Oreochromis niloticus: one gene and its partners. The protein of the gene in region 1 purifies or fractionates together with the protein of each later gene. This does not show direct contact. Links are inferred from orthologs where the notes say so. Each region holds a gene or a part of one and is shown on either strand. Other genes may lie near its edges.

What was found. The genes of interacting proteins can lie anywhere in the genome.
Region 2: the proteins of wdr5 (region 1) and taf7 purify together in Homo sapiens (affinity purification with western blotting; 3 studies listed by BioGRID and IntAct, with this or other methods). This does not show direct contact. The link is inferred for Oreochromis niloticus from reciprocal best matches to the Homo sapiens genes WDR5 and TAF7.
Region 3: the proteins of wdr5 (region 1) and l3mbtl2 purify together in Homo sapiens (affinity purification with mass spectrometry; 4 studies listed by BioGRID and IntAct, counting the BioPlex papers as one, with this or other methods). This does not show direct contact. The link is inferred for Oreochromis niloticus from reciprocal best matches to the Homo sapiens genes WDR5 and L3MBTL2.

The regions. Positions count from the first base shown.
Region 1 is NC_031972.2:29,230,795-29,238,853, forward strand, and holds the start of wdr5 (WD repeat-containing protein 5), read right to left. Parts: upstream 3,444-8,059; 5' UTR 3,255-3,443; intron 1,670-3,254; 5' UTR 1,638-1,669; coding exon 1,560-1,637; intron 1,379-1,559; coding exon 1,270-1,378; intron 1,115-1,269; coding exon 1,041-1,114; intron 814-1,040; coding exon 724-813; intron 1-723. Other genes in the region: bromodomain-containing protein 3, read left to right, coding at 7,119-7,313.
Region 2 is NC_031966.2:19,243,305-19,251,655, forward strand, and holds the start of taf7 (transcription initiation factor TFIID subunit 7), read right to left. Parts: upstream 3,317-8,351; 5' UTR 3,146-3,316; coding exon 3,127-3,145; intron 1,817-3,126; coding exon 1,740-1,816; intron 1,645-1,739; coding exon 1,566-1,644; intron 1,346-1,565; coding exon 1,212-1,345; intron 1,031-1,211; coding exon 910-1,030; intron 767-909; coding exon 708-766; intron 230-707; coding exon 157-229; intron 1-156. Other genes in the region: slc9a6a (sodium/hydrogen exchanger 6a), read left to right, coding at 4,262-4,553, 5,794-5,993, 7,182-7,259, 7,474-7,550, 7,793-7,905. UniProt on the Homo sapiens protein: The TFIID basal transcription factor complex plays a major role in the initiation of RNA polymerase II (Pol II)-dependent transcription.
Region 3 is NC_031973.2:22,452,413-22,460,996, forward strand, and holds the start of l3mbtl2 (lethal(3)malignant brain tumor-like protein 2), read left to right. Parts: upstream 1-5,268; 5' UTR 5,269-5,658; intron 5,659-5,664; exon of another isoform or gene 5,665-5,795; intron 5,796-6,718; 5' UTR 6,719-6,791; coding exon 6,792-7,142; intron 7,143-7,227; coding exon 7,228-7,333; intron 7,334-7,415; coding exon 7,416-7,549; intron 7,550-8,584. UniProt on the Homo sapiens protein: Putative Polycomb group (PcG) protein. PcG proteins maintain the transcriptionally repressive state of genes, probably via a modification of chromatin, rendering it heritably changed in its expressibility.

The DNA of each region.
Region 1 (8,059 bases):
TTAGTAAAAAATAAATAAATAGAGATAAAAATTTAAAACTGGTTCTTTTCCAAAGTTGTCTGTTAAATATAAGATAAGAAAAAAAAAAGGTTCATCCCTTTGAGTTATGTGGCTTTACAAAAGCAAAAAACATTCTTCTGAAAATGGTCAGGAACAAGGCCTGGACTGAAAATGCCCAAAGAAAATTTTGAATGACCTTCAGAAAGCCTAAAAACACAAGACCTTTTTAAAAATTACAAGAAAGTCTCGCTCCAAATATGGGATGGCTCAAGAGTTTTTCATAGGACTGTATATTTTTCCTTAATAATGTTTTTTAGATGTTCCAACTCTTTTGTGCTGTGCACATTTCATTTATATAAAAAAATGACAATCAATTACTTACATGAACTAACCTAATAGTTGTAGTTAGTGCCACTACTCTTCAATCGCCACGCTGATACCTGCCAATCACTCATCCAAAATCATGCTCATAAATGTGCCACAGCCAATCATGCTTTTTCTTATTTATCTTTATAATTCTTCTAGAAAGAAGATCCCATGCCAGATAACATCACTAGACTCCCTACTCCTGGATAACTAAAATAAAAATAACCAAAACTGTTGGTCAAATATTCTATGATGGTAATATACCTGTGCAGCTTGCTAAAATGTATGCGCAGCAAACAGAGTTCAGTATTATATCACACATTTCAGCAGAATCATTTAAATAATCTCCCATCTTACCGAGCTAACGTCCCAAATCTTCAGGGTTTTGTCATCTGATGCAGATACCAGGAGGTTGGAGTCAGAGGACCAGGCCACATCAGATATACCCTGCAGATTCATGGGAACTGATCAGGACTTGAAGCTCTGAGAACAGCTAGCATGGGGCCAATGTAAGAACTAATGGAACCATGGCTTGGCTCTTAGTAACGACTCCAAACATCTGATCCCAATTGACTAAACATCAAGGATGCTACAGTTGCTCTACGTAAGTCCAGCCAATAAAAAACAAAACCATTAACACGGCAGGAGTATAGCTGAGAATTAGTCAAACTCACAAGTTTGTGTCCAGATATGGTTTTCTCAAACTTGCCGTCATACGCGCCCCAGATTTTGATCAGTTTATCAGCAGCTGTAGAGACAGAATGAATACGCACTCAGCATAGGTAAAAAAACAAAACAAAACACATCATCAATCTTAAAACTCAACAAGAAGCTGCAATAATTTATTGATAATTATTAAGTTGTGAAAAAAAATTGGTATTTCCAGCAGTGATTTTTACTCACATGAGCTGGCGAGCCATTCTCCACTCGGACTGAATTTGACAGAGGACACAGCTTTGGTGTGGCCCGCTAATGTGAACTTCAGGCTGTAGTTTGGCTTTGCAGGTGCCGACTGTAAGTGAAAAAGAAATACGACATTTAACAACTCTTGGCTGAGATGTGACAAATACACTAACATTCATCTAAGTCTATATTAAACAAAATACATTCTCTTATGAATCCCAACTATGGCTATTTCTTGGCCCTAAAAGGCTACAGCTGGAACAGAATAGTGATACTCCAAAAATTCAAACCTTGCTTTGGCTGGCAGATGCTGACGGCGCTACTGGAGGTTTTGTGTCAGTCTCTGGTTTCTTGTCTTCAGTTGCCATGGTGAGGAAATTAGCATTTACTGTGTACTATCCTAAAGCAGAGGAAAAAATAAATATTGAAATAAATACAAGAAGACATTCTTTATGCCACTGGTGATGATCAGTATATCAGTTATAAATACCAATGAACACATATAACAGCGAGCCTCAGTAACCTTTCAAGAGGTTTGCATGAACAATATCACTGACAGCCTGGATAATATGATTACATTTTTCAAACTGTCTCTTTCACGCTCAGACACTTGGTGACTGACAAACAACTAGTTTAAAATAAGTTTAGCCAAATTAAACTTCCCTTTCAAAACAAAAACTCAAAAATACTAAAGCCACTTTTTGAAGTGATAAAAGAAAAGATTGTATTTATAAACTTCACTACTGCGTCATTAACTTGATTTATAACTACTACTGTGTAAATGCCTGTCAATGTTTATGCCTAAAATAAAATAAGACACATTATACAATACAATTCGTTCGCTATTAAAATGACCATTCAACACATGTTTCTAGCTGTTTTTTCATTGAACTTTTTTCAAATCAACTATTTTATGCACCCAATAAATCTTACATCTTCGAAAAAGCTATTCTTAGTTTCTGATAGGTTTTCAAGCAGCAGATACACTGGCACACTCAAAATTTCTTCAGAAATTTTCTAGTTTGTGTTTATTTATTTATTTACACGATGACTATGCAATTTTTTTCTAGTCTCTAAAATCCTGATATTAAAGTTAGTCAATGTAGACCTATAAATACATACATACATACATACACACATATATATATATAGATATAGATATATATATATCCCTGCATTAACTGCAACATTCCTTGACAGTCAAGTTGAAACGAATTTTAGACTGAATATAGTCGACATTTAGTCTGATAGTGGTATTAAAATCCAATGAAAGGGCAAACCTCTTTCTCCATCTCACATGACAACAATGATATATATTGCATAACGCCAAAAATGCACAAAGTATATACGAAACCACCTTGGTACATTAACTTTACATTAACAGCAGTTTAGCTCACGATGTTTCCTTTTAGTTTTATGTCCCTCATATGAGCTGCAGTTTTTGCTAAACGCCGCATTTAACCCAGTTGGTACCGGCTGCAGCTATTTTTTCTTGTTCGTGTTGCTGCTTTCTCATTTAGCTCCAAGTTTAGCCATTTAAGCTAGCTTAAGCTAGCTAGCGTTGCATTACTTCGTTGTGGCTACTTAAAACCACCAAACAGAAACGCATATGCATTCAGCTAAGACTAGATGGCATCTGTTTGCAATATATTAACATGAATTCGCGTTTAAATGGAACAAACGTGCGAGAAAAGAGAATATCAAACAAAGGGCGATACGGACTCCCTTGGCTGGAAAAATTCAACTCTTGACTATGATCGTATTTGAACGACAGCTAGCTACGCTGTTATATCACTATTCAGATGTTTAACCGTCAATCATAACGCCACGTTAAAACTGGTGGTTTTATATAAACGCTAAAGGGTATTTGATGATGCAGCCGCCGCTGCTCGAAATGCACTGGTGCTGTTGACAAACTGGCTGAGGTGCCATGGAGGGGCCCTCCATTCACACAATGAGGATTCAGTCATAAAGACGATACTCACAGATTAATGGAGCTTCACGGTCAGATTGTTACTCCTCGTAAACACACGAAAGGGTAAAAAAACACCATGTATGTGTATTCAGACGATCATGGAGAACGTATACAGCAAGTGACTTGCTCTTGGATGATTGCCTGTAGGGAAAGAGAAGCGGGGAATGTGGTGTGCTGTGGCTTTGCGCATGCGTGTTACGCTCTTCTTCTTCTTTGGTTTTCACGACGGGACGCAAACCAACGTGTTTACGCGCATACTGCCACAATCCATTAAACAGAGAGTTTTGCATGTCATTCATTATTATATCTTCCATTTTTATAAAACAGTATTAAACAACTGTTGATAAAGACGTTTAGAGAAGGTCAGGAGGAGTTCCATTGTTTCTAGAGAATATGGGGCATATGATTGGGTACAAGAGATGAAATGTGGCAAAGAAATATGTTAAGGTGGTGGAGGACATCTAGGAGGACAACAAGACAGTGGTGTGGTGTGCAATAGGAGTGACAGATGGATTTGAAGGAGGGGTGGGATTATATCAGGGATTGGCTCCAAAACCACTTCTTATTTGCAGTGGTAATGGACAGGTTGACTGATGAGATCAGGCGGGAATCTCTGTGGACTATGCTGTAGAGAGAGTATAGAGCAGGTGGAAAAGAGTCCGGAAAGGTGTAGGTATAAGATAAGATAAGATAAGATAACCTTTATTAGTCCCACACGTGGGAAATTTGTATGAGCATTTAAGTCCGTTTGAAGCAAGACATATTAAATATGTGTGAATGAGAAGGAAACACATGTAACATTGAAAATCCAAAGAATAAAGGTAGTGAAGGTGGATGAGTTTAAATGGTAGTTTAAATCAGTGCACAAGTGAAGAGGAGTGTGCAGGCAATGGTGGGATCAGGATAGCAGCACAAGTCAAAGGGAAGGTTTAGAAGATCATAATGAGACCTGCTATGATGTATGGTTTGGAGATGGCGGCGCTCATAAGAAGACAGGAGGTTGAGCCGGATATGGCAGATGTGAAGATGCTGAGATTTTCATTGTGAATTACCAGAATGAACAAGATTAGAAATGAGTACCTGAGAGCAAGGTTGATCAGCTTGAAGACAGTTGAACAGTGTGTAGAGAAGGGGTAGTGGATATACTGGACAAAGGATGTTGGAGATGGAGTTGCCAAGCTGGAGGAAAAGACGAAGACCTCAGAAGAGGCTAATGGATGTAGTGAAGGAGGACATGCAGGGTTGGTGTGGCAGAGGAGGAAGCTAGACGCAGGGTTAGGTGGAGGCTGATGATCCACTGTGGCGACACCTAAAGGGAGCAGCCGGAAGAAGAAGAAGAAGAAGAAGAAAATCAATGCTCTTCTCTCTTGGGATCATTACACTTTCGGTCATTTTGGGTTTATTCTCGACACCCTCCGACACAGCAGGCGGCGGTATACGCTGTTAACTTTGGCTAAAAAATTGGTCACAGAAGCCTTCGACGAAGGGGAGCTTGTTACTTGAAGCCATGCCCGCAGCAGGTTTGTGTGGAAGTTTTCAGCTGGTCTAAGCGCAGCCAGGAGTTACCGTATCTCGACTTTTTACTCTGTTTGGCCTTCGGTGCGGTGTGAACGGTCTTAAATAGAAACTATCATTTCAAAGTACCTTCATAAGAAGAAAAAACGTGTTGGTAAACACTCGTGACTCTCCCGTCATCCTCTGCGAAACAAGTTATGTGGTACATGTATGTGTTGCCGTTATCTGAAGGTAATTGCGAGCGTTCAGGTAACAGCGACTGGCGTCCCTATAAAAACTTTGTAAGTGGTAAGTTAACCGCGGCAGAGCAAGGCCCAACTGTAATAAACAAACCCCAGTAGGCACTGCACAAGATACTGTGGTGGGTTTTTTATTGCTCATTTGCAGTGAAGACTTATATTGGCCATGCGCCCATATAGGTTTACCTTAACCTGCTAGCCAAGTGAAGCTAACGTGCTGAACGTGACTGGTTAGGTTTCCCAAGAGCTGGCCTCCTGATTATTTAACTCTGTCGTGCTCATTTAAAACTTGACAATCCAATTCTTCCTTCTTACTCCGTTAAGTTAGCATTATATTAGTTGACTTGTATTTAATGGTATGATATTACATGAGCTAGGGTTGAGATTTATACCGCGTCTGAGATCATGCAAACTCTTACTGCCTTCTCCAGTGGCGATGTTTAGTAAAATGAGCAAACGAAATAAAATTAGATTTAAAGAAACATTTGATCTGGAATAAAGGAAAAATAGATTTAAATGTTAAAATGGATAAAAAGTAATATCACCTCACTAAAACTTGAAGTTAAATACATGAAATGTATTTAGTCTTCCCCAGTTTGGTTTTATTTATTGAGAAAAGGATGCGTTCACAATAATATGTCTTGAAATATAATGTGTTAACTTAGGCCAACAAAATATAATAATATTTGAAAAATAAAGTTTTGTAAGCTATTTAAAAACTAAACTGAAATGAACAAAGCCTCTCTCAAAATTAATTGAAATGCATTAGAACTGCAAATAAAATTGAAATAAGAAAAAATCGAAATCACCTGCTCCTTTCTGCTGCTCCCTTTAGGGGGCCCCACAATGGGTCATCTCCCTTCATTTCACCCTATCCGTAGCACCCTCCTCTGTCACACTAACACTCTCCATGTTCTCCTTCACTACATCTAAGAATCTCTTCCTTTGTCTTTCTCTTTTCTTCATACCTAGCAGCTCCATCTTTATCATCCTTTGTAGCAACCTCAGTCTAAGCTGACCCTTTCATGTACTCATTTTTAATCTTGTCCATTCTAGTCAGTCCTAATGACAATCTTAGATCTTCACCTTTAACGCCTCCAGCTCGACCTCCCGCCTTTTTGTTAGTGCTCCAAACCATACTTCATATCCCGTCTCACTCCCATCCTCTAAACCTTCGCTTTCACTTTTGCTGCTATCCTCCTGTCACAAATCACCCGTGACACTCGTCTCCACTCACTTCCCCCATCTTCACTTTCTTCTTCACCTCTCTCGTGCACTGTCCTTTGCTTTTAATGGTTGACCCTCACTGTCACATGCATCCTTGTACTAACTTTGATTCCTCTTCTATCCGATGCATACCTCCATCTCTCCACCTTCTCTAAATATTAAAATTAGAATAATTGCAGGCAGATTGCTAGACAGCTAAATAAACATAGCTGATTCCAACACCATCAGTGAAACAGCCTCTTAAATTTTGTCAGTGTATTTGCCAAGAAAACATTGCTCAGTTCACATGCCCACTAAACCTTTATACACCCTCCGTGTCTTCTGCTTATCTGAAGCCGGGTTGCAGTATTCAGACATCCTTCTCCCCAGCCACTCTTTCCAGTTCCCCATGGGGGTCCCAAGGCATTCCCAGGTCAGATGAGATGTATAATCTCTCCAGCAGGTTCTGGGTCTACCCCAGGGTCTCCTCCCAGTTAGGTATGCCCAGGAGCCTTTCTAACTAGATGCCTGAAATGCCTCAACTGCCTCCTTTCAGCATGCAAGGAAAAGAGCCTTTATACAGTCATGTGCATTAATTACTAATCAGATTGTTTTACATAATAATAAAATGAATGTGATAAGCTTCAAAAGATATGAGATATAGTCTGTTTTTGAAACTATATCAATGGTGTGAAGTAATCAGTCGCTTCCTCTTTTTAGAGTTTTATATTTGATATTTGGAGAACCACATGATCATAACAGTCTATTCTTTTATGTCAGCAGGCCACATTGTGTGGTTTGACGATTCCCCAGCCTGCGTCATGCATAGTTTTCACAGTGTGTGACAAGCTGTCAGGTGAACACTACATGACTTACAGAAGATAACAGAACCCAGAAGAATTCGTGCAGCCACCATGTCCGCAGACACCAACCAGGACCCTCCTCAGCTTGTTAATCCCCCACCTCCCGAGGTGACCAATCCCAACAAGCCAGGCCGGAGGACCAACCAGCTGCAGTATATGCAGAACATAGTGATCAAATCCCTGTGGCGGCACCAGTTCGCCTGGCCTTTTTACCAGCCTGTCGATGCAGTTGCTCTTGGACTGCCAGTGAGTAGTTTGCACATGTTCAGCTGACAGGGTTACAGTGCATCAAGTCATTTTTATGGGTTTTTCACAAGTCATGGTACAAAAATGACTTCAGCCTCAGGATTGCAGGGCTTTTCTTCAGTTAGTTGCACAAGTAAGTCATAGTTTTGCTCATAATGAAAATATTTTTTATTTTTTAATTCCACAATGTCCCCGTTCTTTATGCAAAAGTGATGTTAACTGGGCATGATCATACTGTTATATGATCTATTTAGCCATTGTTGTTAAATATACATTTACTGGTAGCTGCCAGCAGTTTTTTCCCCTAGGTATATATAGATATATTTTTTGTAGTTTTCAGATACGCTAACTTGCTTTGTGCTGCTGGCTCTGTCTGTTCTTCTTTTCTGAAACTACTAGATCTTCTTTTCGTTTTGTTATTCTCTCACTGTTAATATTAATGTTGTCTAAGATATTTTTTTGTTTTTCCTCCCTTTTATTTTTGTTCCTAATTCTCACGCACAACCCACATACCACAGTGAGTATAGAGATAATGGAATGCAGTGTAACTCTGTCTTGCATCTTATCCTAGTTTTAGCCATACTTCAGTAAGAAATGACTCAAACCTGCCGACATGTCCTTGATCCTAAATTTTAATACATCAGCAAGAATGTGTATGAAGTGAAACTAATTTGTTTACCCAATTTAGTGCTGAATCTAAAAATGCAAACAATTAAAAAAAAATCATATATTGATGTTAATTCCAG
Region 2 (8,351 bases), on another chromosome or scaffold:
TGAGTAAATTTCATGTTACAAGTAATGGCCAGCTGATTCTGCCTTACTGAAGTACTTTTAAAGATGTAATACACACTATTGTTTTGATGGTTTATATACACCATTACTATTGTCCTAGGATGGACGTGCAGAATGTTTAGGTGTCAAAAAGGATACGGACGCTGACAGCCTCAGCATCTGTGCTCAGCAATCTCTTCACTTCCTTTTCCACATCAGGAGATTCAATGTACTGCAAAAGACAGAGAGATCGAGTTACTTGTAGTATTAGCAGCATCTCTCTTGCCGTCCTCCTCAGTCTCTATCTTACCCACACACACACACCAAGGTAGCAGCTGGCCACATGCCAGGAAGTACATTAGCGATTAAAAACAGAAGGGGCCAAATCAATATGGCTCAGCTCTGCACCTTCAGGAAGATTTATTCAGAAGACAAAGTAGAAGTGTAGTGCTCCAGCTCCACTCGCTTTCACTTTGATCAAAGCAATAGTGAAATAGCTTTTTTGCATGCCTTTGGGGAAAACTAAGATGGAAAGGCTTTATTTATATGTAAATCTTAGTTTTCACTTTTACCACAGTTCCTGTTTTATGAAATGTAAATGTCTTGTTGGAAGAGAGCCTAGGAAAAAGATGGATCATCAAACGAGATGCTAAGGAGATGGATGGGACATGGGAGGGGACTGCTGTAGGGAAAATGAAAAATGTCAGAACCTTTTTTTTCGCAGTCTTCCGAAATCTCCTCTTGCGCGTGTTCTTCAGAGGGCAGGTGACTAAAGAGCAAAACAATGGGATTAGTGAAGCCAAAAATCAGTCTATTACCCAAGGAGGGGACATTATGTTTCCTGAACTGCTGATATGCCAAGTTTTCAATATAAACAAGTCAAAAAGCTGCTGTGTGTATATAATTACTTACTGCCGTGATTCCAAACAAATTTCTTGTCCTTGTCTTTATCCTTCTTTTTGGTCTTAGGGTCAGTGCCAGTTGGCTCTTCCAAAGGGGGGTAAAGGTCTCCATCTAGTGTACACACGAGCATCTAACCCGTGGATGGGAAAAATGAATGCAAAATATTATGCTGATTAATCTGCACTGCAACTACACTACAACTGTGGAAAATAAATTTACATAACATGTATCTAAAATCCAAAATGTACTTTTATTTTAAACCAATGAAATAATGGAAAACTGTAAAAATTTATTTCCAGTCTCTTGCTTACCTGGCAGACATCTGCAGTCTTGTAAAACGTCTTCTTATCCACCGTTTTGAGTGACTCAATCATGCAGGGCAGATCAACCAGTTTGCAGGCCAAAGGAACACGGTCTACTCTAACTATGCCATGACGACCATCAGCTACAAATTAGAGGGACAAATAACTGTTAAGGGACATGTGGGTGACATTTCTTTAACTAGTTCCATTAGTATGCTTGTTACATTTAAATAACAAAAAGAATGAAACTGCTATAGAAATATGTACAATGTTCAAAATTCTGGACCCAACTGTAAATAAATAACAAGACAGGGAGACAGTGTGAGACACATTAAACCAGTGCCAAGATTGTGAGCAGCTTACGGTGCAACTCAATGGTGAGTCTGTCCTTCATGTTCATACTGCTAGACTGTGCAATCCTTCTTACTGTTGAGGCATACTCCTGCAAAAGAAAGAAAAATGAAGCCAGATCATATGTATGGTGATAAAACTGAATTTCCATCAAACAATGAATTTCTGCAAGTGCAAACGTCTCACCGAAGGAAGCCTAAGGACAAACTGGCTCTCCAACTCATAAGGGGCATCCTCCTTACTCTTGGAACCGACCTTCCCAACTAAAATCAAAACACATCACCATAATGAAAGCGTTAAAATATGTCTTGCTTGCTATATGATGACAAACTACAAAGTTTGTCATTCTACTTTAACATTAAAATATACAGTACATTAGGTACTCATTTTTTCCTATTTTGAAGTAAGAAGTAATATAGTGTCTAATATATTAATCTCTGGCTCTCTTCCACAGTGTCTTTTTTCACAGTGTCAGATGGATGCCACTCCTGAAGCCTGGTTCTGCTGGAGGTTTCTTCCTGTTAAAAAGGAGTTTTTCCTTTGCCTTTCCCACTGAATGCTTACTCATTGCATTTCGTTTGATTGCTGTGGCTTTCTCTGTATTATATTTTATTATATTATATTATAAATTCAGTTCAACTGAATCATCTGCTAGATGGACTGGTCTGTGGACCATTTAAAGCATTTTTGGTACCTTAGCTGGGCTCTTTGTGCAACTTTAAAATTCTACTACATTATATTTCAGGGGCAAACACTACACTCCACCACATTGTTTGACAGCTTTAATTACTGATCACTTTATAGTCTTTCATGTTCTTCCTGTGGAAAGAAACCTCCAAGTTTGGTGATTTTATATGCAATATTTTACTTTGAGTGTTCTTTGTTTTGCTTTTTTTTTTAAACTTGTGGAAAATTGTCTTTAAAGGTATGAGGTTTTCACTGGGCAGCAACACTAGAAATATATAAACACTAATTAATATCTTAAGTACCTACAACAGTAAAGTTTATTTCAGTGCTGACAAAAAAGGAACTTACAATGTAATAAGCTAAAAATGTAAATAGCCAAACCATTTTTATTTCTCACAGTGCGTATATGCAAACCAACAAATGTTATTGTTAGTTCAATATAACATTTAGTTTATTATATTATACTATGAATGAATAAATGAACGAAAAAATAACCAACGTTCCTACCAAATGTACTATGAATCTCTTTTCAAATTCTATCACGAATGTCTTTACATCAAAAGTAAAACACCGATAATTATTGCTAATAAAGGTTACTTGTGCATTTTACATTAGTGATGTCTACCACACTGTGGACCAGTAACACTATAGGAGATTATACATAATGTTCAAAAGACAGGAACGACAAACGCTAATTTGCGAACACAGTTGTTAAAATATGCCACAGACAACATGTTCTGTTACATCATCACCATTATTGTTACTATCAGCTTCATCTTAATAACCGACAACTAAAAATGTTTCTTTACCTTACAAAAGTGGAGGCTAAGAGGCTAACAGCTAGTTATCTTTAGCATAAGGATAAGGGCAGAGGATTTTAACGTACCTTTCAGTTTAGATGTCATCGTCGTTTTTCAAGTTTAGATGGTGCAGCTGTATAGATATCTTTCAATGGCAAACACGCATAAACATGACAACTCTAAGTAAAAAAAAACGAGACTTCTTAGCTACACGGTGATAGCATAATCACGAGCGAAAACAAGAGTGTTGTATAGGGCTTTGCCACTTTCAATACCTCCTCGGAAATTTGTATTTTCTGTACCTTGGCTGTACAACTCGTATGTCTGAGCATTAAATTACAAATTTAGGCATATTTTAGTTAATAATTAAGTAATTATAATATATATATATGCATATTTTGTACTGCCATGTTATTAAATAAGGACTAACAGTGCAAATTAGTTTGTTTTTCAGTGCATGACAGTAAAATAAAAAATTCCGATAAATCGGAACGTCACACGCAACCATCCGTATCACGAGACTTGTCAAAAGTACTTTTGAAAAACAAAAAATAACGAATATTCTTTATGCAATATAGTTAAATGTATCTATAAATATTTAAAATTATTATTTGATGTTCGTATCGTTATGCTAAATGGTCTGTAGGTAAAAGAAAAGTAGGAAGGAAGTAGGAATGAGGAAATACCACAGGAAATATGCGTCTATTTTTTATTTAAACTTATTCTATTAAGAATTAAACCGTAACCTAAAATAAATGTTAAGTTCGTTATTATATCTGGTTTATTTTTATTTATTTATTTTCAATACAACACAAATCGATAGCCTAAAGGACTGTTGGACTCACTTCCCGGTAAGCACGGCTATCGTCAAATATTTCATAATAAAAGATTTCGGGGAAAACTATCATCGCTAATAAGAAGCAAACTGCCAAGAAAACTGCCAGATAGACATTTTTGTTTATTTAGAAGGTTTATTCTTTTTGCGGCATTAAATTTTTCCACAGGCGTTGATTTTAACCACCCACGGTACGGTGGTGTGCTTTTAATTTGAAACATAAAATTACACTTTCTGGAAAAATTACTTTTCCCTTCCGGGCCGGAATTGGTTTCTCTTTTGCTGTCGTCTTTCTGTTGCCCACTCCCCTCAGTTTATGAATAATATTTGCACAAGTTTATTTTTACCTTCGGCGACGTTGCAGCATTTGGCCGCCGAAAGTCGAAATGGTGTTTAAAGTGACTGTCAGCAGTGCCCGGAGGGCAACAAGGACGCTGTGGCTGCTCGTGCTAGTAAGCCTGCCTGTTTGCATCAGTGTTTGCCGAGCATCATCACCTCAGGAGGACAGTGCCATGGAGAACATCGTTACAGAGAAAAAGGCTGAGGAGAGCCACAGACAAGACAGCGCTGACCTGCTGATCTTTATCCTGCTCCTCACCCTCACCATCCTGACAATATGGTTGTTCAAACATCGGCGGTTCAGGTTTCTCCACGAAACCGGGCTGGCAATGATTTATGGTAAGATGGTCCATCGTGACAGAGAGACGTCATCCGAGCTGTTACACTCATTGTGTCCTAATAGTTAGATTTTAAACAGATGAATGTCAACACCACGCTTGATAAGTTCGCCCCTGTTAATGACATACTTCATTTGGGCGAATTTTAACAGATTTATGCAGCAGGACTGTGCCAGTTTGTGTTGTGATTGAGCAAGCGTAATTTAACGACAGTGAACGCCTCTTTTACACTGCTTAGTCTTAAAAATTACATCTGAGCACCTAAGCAATTTCGACAAATACTGTCTTATGAATCCTACTGAATTTTAGTTCTTAAATAACTTGTTTTTGTTTTGTTTTTGTTTTTGCTTTTTCGTGCAAGTCACAAGTGATTATTTGGACAAGTGCCAATCATGAGTGTGGAACTGGACTTTGCTTCCACTTCTGTATATTGAATTTCAGGAGTATTGTTAGAATTCTTCCAACCCGTAGAAGAGGAAGTGGTCGTGCCATTGTAGAATCATCGTAGAACCATATCTAGCAGATAATTAATAATTTCTGTTTGGCTGTGCAGAGCTTTTAGAGTGTAAACATTCACAAATCACTCACTTTTAGTTTTTATGAAGGCTCCATAGGATGGATAATAACATTATGCTATTATTTTAGCTGTGACATTACTGTCTACTACATGGTTACCAAACCATGCATTACTACCATAGTAACAGATGTTTGATCTGAGCATTTTAAGTCAAGATCAGATCACAAATCAAAATTTGATCAAAATAGCTGGAAAGATGGTTGTCATCCTTCCTCAATTTTCTCTCCATGAGATATTTAAAGACATGTTGTGATGTTTATTTTGTGTGACATATTCCCCTCCGTTGACCAAGACAAATTTCTCCCACTGGAGACAATATGGTCTAATCTAATCTAAACTAATTGAAATTCTAATTTGCTGGTACACTATCTGATAGGGTAATTTATTTTCACATGGATGTGTTAAGACTTTAATTTGAGATCCAAAGCTGTTAGGTACGTCTGTGATGTTCAGACTAGACCTTTGTTTAATTTTTTTTTTCTACAAATTAATTCCACTGAAACATTTTAGACCATCTGTAGTGTCAGGTAGCCTAAAACTGCACTCACCATCCGTTTTTGTGGCAACATGCCATAAACCATTAAAAATCCTGTATTAATCAATTCTTCTCTCTCTACTGTTTTTTTTTTTTTTTTGTCTTTCGTTTTTATTAATTTTTCCCCAGGCTTAATTGTTGGAGTGATTTTGCGTTATGGCATTCATGTTCCTCGGGATGTTAGCAACATCACCTTGAATTGCCAGGTCAATGCCAGCCCTGCCACTCTGCTGGTCAATGTAAGCGGCAAGTTCTACGAGTACACATTGAAAGGGGAGATCAATGCCAATGAAGTGAACGACGTGCAGGACAATGAGATGCTGCGCAAGGTATACTCAGTCGTGATGTCTACATACAAGAAATTGTGTTACAGAGATGGGTAATTATTTTCCTAAGGGACTATGTGAGAAACTGGGACTGTTGTGGAGGACAGTGCCAGTAAATTGAACTCAGTATTAATTTTATCTCTGTATAAGTTATTGGTACAGCCCTCCACAAGAGTCCCAGTTTCTCCTGTATCCCCTTGAGAAGATTAATTCCCCACCCCTGAGCTGGAGCAATCAGATGATTTAATCATCAGCGAAGACATAATTGTCAGTTATTTTACACTGAAATGATAGCAGATGTTTAAATCTGCAAGCACTGATGATCAGACAAAACCAGCTACCCCACATGTTTCCCTTCTGATATTTTAAATACAGCATAACTAACCAATGCAAGAGAGAAATCATAGTCAGGTTAATTTGTAATGGGATTAAATGGTGGTTTTAGTTTTTTGTGAGCTGAATGATTTGTGATTCTCTTTCTGTAATACTAATTATTTATTATCAACATTAAGTAGCTATTTCAAATTTAAAAGAATAGCTGTACATCTAGATCAAATCTGTTTGAAGACTAAACAGGGCATGAAATGCTCTGTTAAAATAACTGGCAGAATGCCTTTATTGGTGATACAGAATGTAAAAGAAACCATAAAAGTAGTTGTTTTACAGTTGTCATGTGCTGGGGTGTGTTTGTCACTTTGTACTTTGTCGGTTAAACAGCTGCACAATTACATACAAGCAGTATTCTTGATGCTATTCTAACCACCAAACAAGTAAACAATCTGCTGAACAAGTTTCATTTTTTTAAGTCATAATCTCACGCTCAGCAATTTAGGATTGTTTTCCAAACATGAATACATCTAATCCATTGTCAGAGATTGAAACCACATACTGATTTGAATGTAGCACTGCTCTAGATTTAGCATCTAAAATTGGCATTAGCCTTAGTATGTGTATATGTATGTGGCTAGAAGCTGTCCTCTTTCTGTGACATACCATGTTACTTTTATAGTAGGTTTTTGTTTATTGTCCTGGAAGCTGTGTCATGATGCCCCAGATGTGTCATTTTTGATTAATTAATATTTCAGTCGATCCATAAATGCAACAGCATAGAAAGAAATATTAATGAAAACAACTTGTTAATTTTCTTTTGATGCAGATCGGCAATTTTGTTCTGTGTTTTGTATAACTCAGGTGACCTTTGACCCTGAAGTGTTCTTCAATATTCTCCTACCGCCTATCATCTTCCATGCTGGCTACAGCTTAAAAAGGGTACAGTATATCATATAAAAAGTCAACATTTATTAAATACATATTTTCAGTATGTGTTTGGCTCTTGATTAAATAACATCATATTTTGACTATGAAATTTTAAAAGTCCATTTGTAGTCTCTTTATAGACCGCAGGGGTTTCATCAAGATGAATAATTTATTTTATAGTAAGTATGCATTTGATTGCTGATCTGGTAACTCTTCTGTCTTTCAGAGACATTTTTTTCGGAACATGGGATCCATCCTGGCTTACGCCTTTCTCGGGACAGTCATTTCCTGTTTTATTATTGGGTAAAAGAATTAATTTGCAATTATTACAAAAAATATTTTATTATTAAAAAGAACCAAAAACATGAAAGCCATTCATCCTTGTGATTTTACAACCCTTGTGCAACTATGTATATACAAAACAGACACTTTATGGCAGAGCAGTGTTTGAATATGTCAGTGTTAAGGTGTCCCTAAATGCCTTTAAAGTTATTGTTGTTTATGATGATGGACAAGACCACCTGCTCTTCCACTTCTGCCATCAGGTTGCTGATGTATGGCTGTGTGACGCTAATGAAGCAGGTGGGCCAGCTGGGTGGAGACTTTTTCTTCACTGATTGCCTGTTTTTTGGGGCCATTGTCTCTGCCACAGACCCAGGTACATATGATTTTTCTCAGATTTAAAAGTTTTCTTTTCTAACTCAAACCAAAAATAATGTATCCTACTTTTTGTTACATATATTAACTAAAGTACTGTGCAAAGGCCTTTCCACAACCACCCTGCATTCATATTTTGTGCCCAAAGAGTCAGATTTTCCAGTAATCTTTTAAAATGTTCTTGACAAATAGTTGTGCTGAAGTTTTTTTTAAAGATTTTTTTAGTTAGTTTTTTTTTTTTTAATTAGAGCTGACTGCTTTTCTTTTACTCATTTTCTTTATACCCAAACATTTTCAGCTGAATGTTTTTATGTTTGTTCAGCACCTTGAGACTGAGCCATGAATAATTAAAGTGAAAAATGTATGTAATCCAAGGAATGAACCGGTTTTGTCTCCACATTACTTAACAAGGAATCCACACACTGTTCTCCAAAGCCTCATAAGCAA
Region 3 (8,584 bases), on another chromosome or scaffold:
GGTGGCCAGCAATACAGCTGAGCTAACTTAGGTGGGCAGTGGGTCAGATTGGAAACTTGCCCGGCTGATTTTTGCCCCCAGGCATTATGTTTGACACTCCTGCTCTGTACATTAAGCTTAAGCTTAATCTTAATCTTGAGACACATAGGCTTTGGATGCTCAGTACCCACAGGATCAGCATGGAACTACCAAGGAGACACTGACTTCTATAGGCTGGGGCTGCGCAGCACGCACTGGCTACTGTGGCTATGGCTGTGCAAAATGGGCCAGCTGGCACTGTTTCTAAGGAGTTCCCAGGTAGAGCAACAGTCTCTTGGGAAGCTAGCACAGAAAACACAGGGAGCCCGGGGAAAAACAGTAAGTTGGAGAGACCCCAGATAGAGTATACTCTGGAGGGTCATGGTGTTGACCGTTCTGGGCACTGAGGCCTAACCAGAGGCCTTAACCCTTGGAGATGGGACAGGGTTGGGCCTGTTGTCATGGGACCCAGGAGGACAAGCAGGCAGTGCCTGACATCGTAGGTTTTGTAGTGTAGTGATCAATGTCAATCTGGTCAATGTCAATCTGGTCAGGCAGGATGACTCTGGTTGCACAGAGTGGTGGTGACTAGGGTGCTACAGTGATAAGGAGGAAGGGCATTAGCAAGGACCATGCTTCCCTTTTGAAGAGCTAGAGGAAGTGGGCTCTGGAAAACATGTGGCAGCCATTGTAGCAAGTGGCTGATTACCTGGTTGTGCAGCAAGCCTACAACCAGCTAGCAGGAAGGACCAAAGTTAAGGAGGAACTAGGAAGGTGTGGTACACCTTTACTGGTGAGGCCCATGCTCAGGGGTGAGCTATGGCTTCAGATCAATAGTCCCCTTTAAAAAGGAAAGAGCCGCTTGCTGCTGTCCAAAGGCTTTATTTTGTTGGTTGTGGCATTCAGTTATAATCTACATTGAAGACTCAAATGCAGGTAGAAATAATTACAAAAATTAAAAGTAACAATACCCAACTATGGCAACCAAATAGAACATCAAATAACAAGATTCAAGACTAACAGATAAGGGTTAACAGGGTCCCCTCTCTATCCAGGCCTGCCGGAAGGGCTTGTCAATGAGCTAAGGATGAACAAGACACATGAACCAGTCTTAAACATCAGTTGATGAAATTTTTTTATTTATAATATGTTTAGAAACAGTAGTTAACATAGGATGGATCTTTAAATCTCTTAGATGAAAACAAACAAACAAAAAAAAAAAACAGCAGCCTCAGGGAGTAGAAAAGCTCCAGGAAGGTTTGGCTTTGAAACCAAAACCTTCTTCCTGTGAGGCAACTCCTCTAACCACTGCACCATCATGCTGGTGCAATAGACTGTCCAATGAAACTTGTGATAATGCATTGAAGGCTTTCTAAACTAAAGAAGAGTAATTCTCCAAAAGTTGAATCTGTTCATCTGGACGTAGCGTTTTGTGGGAGAAACGTTTCTCCCACAAAACGCTACGTCCAGATGAACAGATTCAACTTTTGGAGATTTACTTTCCTGGATGATTGAGAATGCATCAAGACATAAATAAGAGTAACATTTTCTTTTTCAATCTTACTAAGCATAGATAGTTTCATAATGTTATGCCTTGAAGAAACAGTGTAAAGATGTACTTTTTAAACCTGAAGCCTTTATATGCTTTATACACTTTATGCTTTATATATCACTCAGCTGGTCATCTACTAATTGGAAGGTTGGTGAGTCGATCCCTGGCTGCTCCAATCTCCAGCCTGCATACCTAGATATTCTCGGGCAAGATACTGAACCCAAAGGTGCTCTGTAATTCGTTCATCACAGCATGAATGTGTGTGAATGCTAGCTAGAAAGCACTTAGGTGCAAAAAAAAAAAGTGCTGGAGTGAATGAGGCATGTATAAAGCACTTAGAGTGCTATATAAGGACCAAGCCATTTACCATCTTTTTGTACCTCAAAAAGGTGCACATAATTATGAAAAAGAATAATAAGAAAAAGGGTAAAAACTACTGCATTTATTCCATATTCAGGAAGTAGTTTTTACCTTACCTTTAGGGTCCAGTAATGACTAGTGTGTAGAGATTGCACACACTAAGAAAGAAATGCACTTTTACTACACCTGCGATTTCTCAGAGTGTGGGTAACAGTAAGGCAGATGTTCTGATAGCTGAAATGTTCTTCTGCAATTCCAGAATGTGCCATTTTAAGTTTGTTCAGGTATGTTTCATGAATCAGAATCATAGTCATCTTTGTTTCTTTGCTATGTGGCCATGCAAAGAAAAAAAAGTTCTTTTAAAATATGCAGTATACATATATGATAGGTAAAAAGTAAGAAAAAGCAAGATACGGAATGTAGTCAGTATGTTCAGCTATTAAAAATAGTTTAGTTTGAGATCTGTGGTTTGCCTATTTGCTAAAAACCCCCCCAAAGCAAAACGACAACAACAAAAATCTCATGAATATTCTCTAAGTGTGGTCATTTGATCATTTTTCATATTACTGCAAAACTAGTGGCATCACCATCTGTTAATGTTAGCTAGATTACACATTTAATTACCTACATTTTCTTTGGGATTAAAAGATTATAATATTGCACGTTTGTTAAGAAGCAAAACAGCAGGCACTACAGTACGTTAAAGTACCAAGTCTTAGCGGCAATTTGAGTACACTTACATTAGTGCACGAAAACTTGATTAGATCTTGTTTAATATTCTGTAGAAAAGTCAAAGTCCAAAATTTTCCTCCAATTACATTCAGTTGTTATCAAGTATAAACAAATTGTTCATTAGCCCGATCAGGTCACAGGGTCACCAAATTCACTGGTCCTATTTTAGATGTAGCTTCCAAACCATCCTGTTCCACAATAAAACCGTCAACACATTTTAAAGGACACACTTGCATTGTGTCCTTTAAGAAGAATTCTCTCCAGTTTCCTTACATACCGATCACAAAGCTCAAGAAAGCTCCCTAAAACTTTTCAGATATTGCTCATAACTCCTTGTGTTTGTTCTTTTGAGTAGAAGGTGTGGCATCATTTGTCTAATCCAGAGTGTAACATTCAGTCTTTGTGCATTTAGTCATTTTATTGTGGTTAGATTCTGCAAGACTTACATAGATGTTCGCATTTACCAGTTACAGTGTGTTAATCTGAGGTGTGAATTCACTGTTTCAGTTGCAACACAATTTCCAGTCTTCTGCTGCAATGTCCGTTTCTAAATCTTTGCTCCAAGTATTTAGATTTTATTCTGACATGATGTCTTTTCTCAAACACTCCTTTGTAAAATAGTACATTTTCATAGGACTCTGTGAAAAACTAAGTGCGTCTCATGATTCAGCAACTTGTAAAACCACCTTTAGCAGCAATAACGTGAAATGCACACTTTCTGTATGACTTTGTCAGTTTCTCACATTGTTACAGAATAATTTTGGCTCACTCTTCTCTCACTTGCTCTCTTAAGGTGCAACATTTCAGGCTGAAGTCTGGCCTTTGACTTGTTCACTCCAATACTCTGATACTTGTTGTAGATTTGCTGGAGTGCTTGGGATCATTGTAATGTTACATGACTCGATTTGAGCCAAGCCAAGCTAGCTGTCGCACAGATGGCCTCATGTTTGACTCTAGAATACTTTGGTACATTGAGGAGTTCATGGTTGAGGTGCCCAGGTCCTGGTGGGTACAAAACAAGCCTAAATCATCACCCCACATTTGACAGCTGGTGTGAGGTGTTTGTGCTGATATGCTGAGATTCATTTTGGTCAAATGTGGTTCTGTGCATTATGACCAAATATCTCCACTTTGGTCTTGTCTGTTCAAAAGACATTGTCCCAGGTCTGTGATTTGGTCAGATGCAACTTTGCAAACCTAAGCCTTGCTTCTATGTTACTTTTAGAGAGTAGGCAACCCTTCCAAAGAAGCCATACACAGTCATCTTCAGGCTTTTTCTAATTGTACTGCGACAAACTTTATAGTTTAGCATGCTACATGCTAAATTATAGCATGCTGGAGGCTGAGATGTAGCTCTTAGGATTTTTTGCAGTTTCTCTTTTTTTGCTGGGACATCCACTTCCGAGAAGACTCTAGCATGGTGTTAATACTCACCTGAATGATCCAGACTAGCGAACTACCAAAACCTCATCTTACGGATGATCAATTAATCAAGTAGCAAACCTGACTGCTACTTATCCTGTTCATTTCTGTATTAGCAATAGCGGTATACTTAGTTTTTCACAGGACTGCATACAGTCCTAAGCAAATTTTATTTTCTTTAACATGACTTTGCTTTAATGTGGTTTAACAAAACTTCTCAGCTGTCAAAATTATAAGTAAATACAAGTGAATTAATATAATTTTTAATTTTAAATATTTCCAAGCCTCCCAAAACTTAAATCTATCATCAGTGTCAGAGCAGCTGTACCTGTGACTGCCAAAATATCTTGTTCATCAAGACATCCCTAACTGAATACATTTGATGAACACAGTGTCTAGATTAAGAAACAAAACATTATATATTTGGTTTCGTTTGTGTGTTTATTATGATTGAAGTAAATGTGTGTCACCCTCTTCTTCCTCCATACTTCCTTTTGGGAACCACACTTGTGAATATCATCACTTCAGCAGCTACTGCCAAATCACATTCAAATGGTTCAAAATTCAATTCCTCTGAGTTTTATTTTTCTTATTGATTTAGTTTAGCAGTGGTTCCTTTTGGGGCAGTCACCACGAGGAATGATTCTTCAGGGGCTTCTCCAAAAAGCTGATGATGAGATGTTTCAGCTCTGAGAAGCACAGATGGATCCTCTATTCTAAGGTGCTTTCTCTTTAGTTAGTTAAGCAGTTCTTGCAAAAATATGACTAAGTACAGTAGCCAAAAAATACTTTTTGCTGTCTATCAGCACTACTTAGGAGCAACACAACTCAAAGTCAAGAAATTTCACCAGTCAACCTTTAAGCTGTTATGTCCCACCAATACTGACTCAACACAAAATCAAGGCTGACACCAGATTTTTTCAGAAACACATGGTTTTTTGGTTGTTTTGGTTTTAAATCATTATACATTCAAAGGTGAAACTTGCAAGCAGGAGAGTATTACAGCATCCAGCGTGAAGTCTGCCTTCATCCACACCTTGTCAGGTGATGCAGATAACTAGCAATTAAGCCCGGGCAACGCCCAAAGTCTACTACACTGCCACTGCAAAGCCAGTAGGGTTGCAAGGGAGCATAACAAATCTCACATGTTACGAGAAAAAAAAAAATGACTGCCTCATAGAGGTATTGCCATTTGTTGTCAGCGCTGAACCCAGCAGCGGTTGCTTTAAATATTCTAAATTACAAAACATATTTTACTTAATCTGAAGTTTGTATATTTCGCCTCATCACTGGTTATGTTTATTTATTTTTCCACACTGTGCAAAATCTTAAGATTAACTATTGAATAGCAAGGTGTCCGCAAACTTCTTTTTCATAGACCGATTTCTTGCAGACCACTAAAACATCTACTCTACTGCCATTACTCCAATTAGTAACATTTTATTTTAACGATTATCGAGTGAAACCAGCGTACAAACACCCGAATGCCTCTAAAATGACTTATTTGTGACCAGGATAGCGACTTTTTTCCAATTTTCGTGAAAACATCAACTCCCAGAATTCCTTGCCCACGCGTAAGTAAATGACGCTAAAATGTGAGCGACCACATTACAGTACCGGGCAACTATGAAGCTACATTAAAATTTGATACCCAAATCAGTTTGTACACCTAAGAGACATTTTACTGAGTGCCAGCATTCACTTACCTCCCGTAAGTACACATTTGAAGTCATGACGAGCAAAGTGCAGCTTCATAACTGCACACATGTACTTTTAGCATTGTTATCATTTAGCTTTGGTGTACAGTAGTTACACTGTATACGTTTTGACTCAACTTATGAAGCAGTCACCTGTAACCTTGCTTTAACGGCGATATTAGAAATAATAATAACATTGATGAAAGGACCGCCTTTTCAAGACAAACTTCTGTTTGTCATGTTTCACTGTCTTGTGTTTGTTAAACATTATGTCGACATTACAGATAAAATAAAATGCGAAGCTTCCTGTTATTTTAATGTAGGTTTTTCAATGCAGAAAATGCCCTAATCAGGCAAATAGAGCCAAGACACACTCTCCGGCCACTTTGTTAGGTACACCTTGCTAGTAGTGTGTTGGACCCTCTTTTGCCTTCAGAAGTGCCTTTATTCTTCATAACGCTGGAAACATTTATCAGAGATTTTGGTCCATATTGACATGATGGCGCCACACAGTTACTGCAGGTTTGTGACTACGGAGGCCATTTGAGTACAGTCATGTTCAAGAAACCAATTTAAGATGATTTGAGCTTTGTGACATGGTGTGTTATCCTGCTGGAAGCAGTGATCAGAAGATGTGTACACTGTTTTCAGTGAGGTGGAAATGGTCAGCAGCAATATTTAGGTAGGTTGTGCCATCTTAGCGATGCTCAGCATAGTTTGGTTGCAACGAGTTGTGCTTTTCTGTCAGGTTATAGCACTCTGGGAATTTTTCTTTGACCTCTGGGATCAGAGAGGAATTTTTACCTAGAGAACTGCTGCTCACTGGATATTTTGTCTTGTTTGGACCGTTCTCTGTAAACCCTAGAGATGGTTGTGTGTGAAAATTAGAAAACCAACTTCTGGTTGGAAGATACAGTTATTTCTTTTCTTTGCACAGCTCAGAGAACAAAACAGCACAACTGAGAAGAAGAAAGGATCCATGAAAGGTGGTCATGGTGTAAGCTCCGAGGATGCCTTACCACTGTGTGGCTTATGGATGTGGAAAAACTACTGAAGATGGTGTAACCCTGTTTAAATTCCCCAAGGACCCTGAAGAGTTTCGGAAATGGGAGAAGCAGGTCCAGCGCACCCGCATGCAGTGGGTTGCCACACCCAATTCTTACCTTTGCAATGAACATTTTGGCAAGGAGTACTTTGAACCCAGACTGGCATCGGGGCCTCTGAAGCTGAGGCCAGGAGCTGCTCCTACAGTGTTTGTCCGTCCGCACTGTCCTTCCTGCAATGGCGCGGGCTGCAGTAGCTGCCTGCCTTCTATCCAACACAGGACCATTACAGCTGAACCAAGCGAGCAAAGCATAAGTGTGAGTAGCACTTATTTTGGATCGTGGGTTGGGGGGTATTACACCTGCTGTTTACAGGTGGGATGTTTGTTTATTTCCTTCATAGGCTGGATACAATGAAATGGCACCCCTAGAGTGTGAAGATACTAATGAAAGAGGTAAAGAACGACATCTGACAGGAGGAGGGTTAAAGGCACTAAACGAGCGACCAGGTGAGGTGCACCTGCACTCTTAACAATGTTCATAATGTTTTACATTAAGAAAAAACTTTTTTGATTGCATTTTTTTCCACAGTGGTTTGTGAGATGTGTGGAACAACCGGGAATATCAACAACTTCTATTCAAAGACTAAGCGCTTCTGCAGTACATCCTGCTCTCGTTCCTATTCATCAAACTCTAAGAAGTCATCCATTCTAGCACGTCTGCAGGTGAGAAAGAGTTTGACTTTTTTAATATATTTATTTATGTATTTTTGAACACTGGGGAGCACCAGAGGAGCAGTTTGAATTAGCTGCCTTGCTTTATTCAATATTCCATCTGGGGAGTTTGACACAGTCAGTGTCACTGGATTGGGCAAAGAGATGTACTAGTTTTTCCATTCGTGAGTGTGTCGCTCAGCAGCTCAGACAGGTGTGGAATTGCTTTAATTTGTTTCAAAAACCATAGAATTATCTAAAATCCTGTAGTAAATGCATGAACGGCTTCAGCAGGCTTCTGTCTTGGACTTTGATTGCCACCAGCATGCTACTTTCATTGTCCAACAAATGTCACAAATCTTTGACTTATTGAAAATAACTAAAATCAATCGCAGAAAATTCACTCATTTTAAAAGCTGAAACTATGAAATGTTTATTTTTTTTACTGGGATTTTGGCTCTGTGTCTATCGTGGGGGAAATAGTTATCTGATCCCCTGCTGAATTTGTGAGTTTGTTCACTTCCAAAGAAATGAATGGTCACACCATCCCTGCAGTCAAGCATTGAAGTGGATTCGTTGTGCTCTGGGGCTGTTTTTCTGCAAGGAATACAGGGCAACTTCACCGCATTGAGTCAGCAATGGATGGGAGCATGTACCGTAAGCTCTTGAATGTGAACCTTCAGTCATACAGAACACTGAAAATAGGTTTTCCAGCATGACTGTGACCCAAAACCAGGGCAACAAAGGAGTGGTTAAAGAAGAAGCACATTAAGGCCATGGAGTTGCCTAGCAAGTCTTCAGACCTCAGTCCTGTAGGGAATCTGTGGAGGGAGCTGAAGCTTAGAATTACCAAGCAGCATCCAAGAAACCTAAAGGATTGAGAGAGTTTCTATAAGGAGGAGTGGTCCAACGTCTCTCCTGGGATGTGTGTAAGCCTGATGACCAACTACAAGAAACATCTTACCACTGTACCTGCCAAAAAGGGTTTCTCGACCAAATACAAAATTTTGTATTTTTTTTTTTAAACACGTCACGTATCAGAAAATC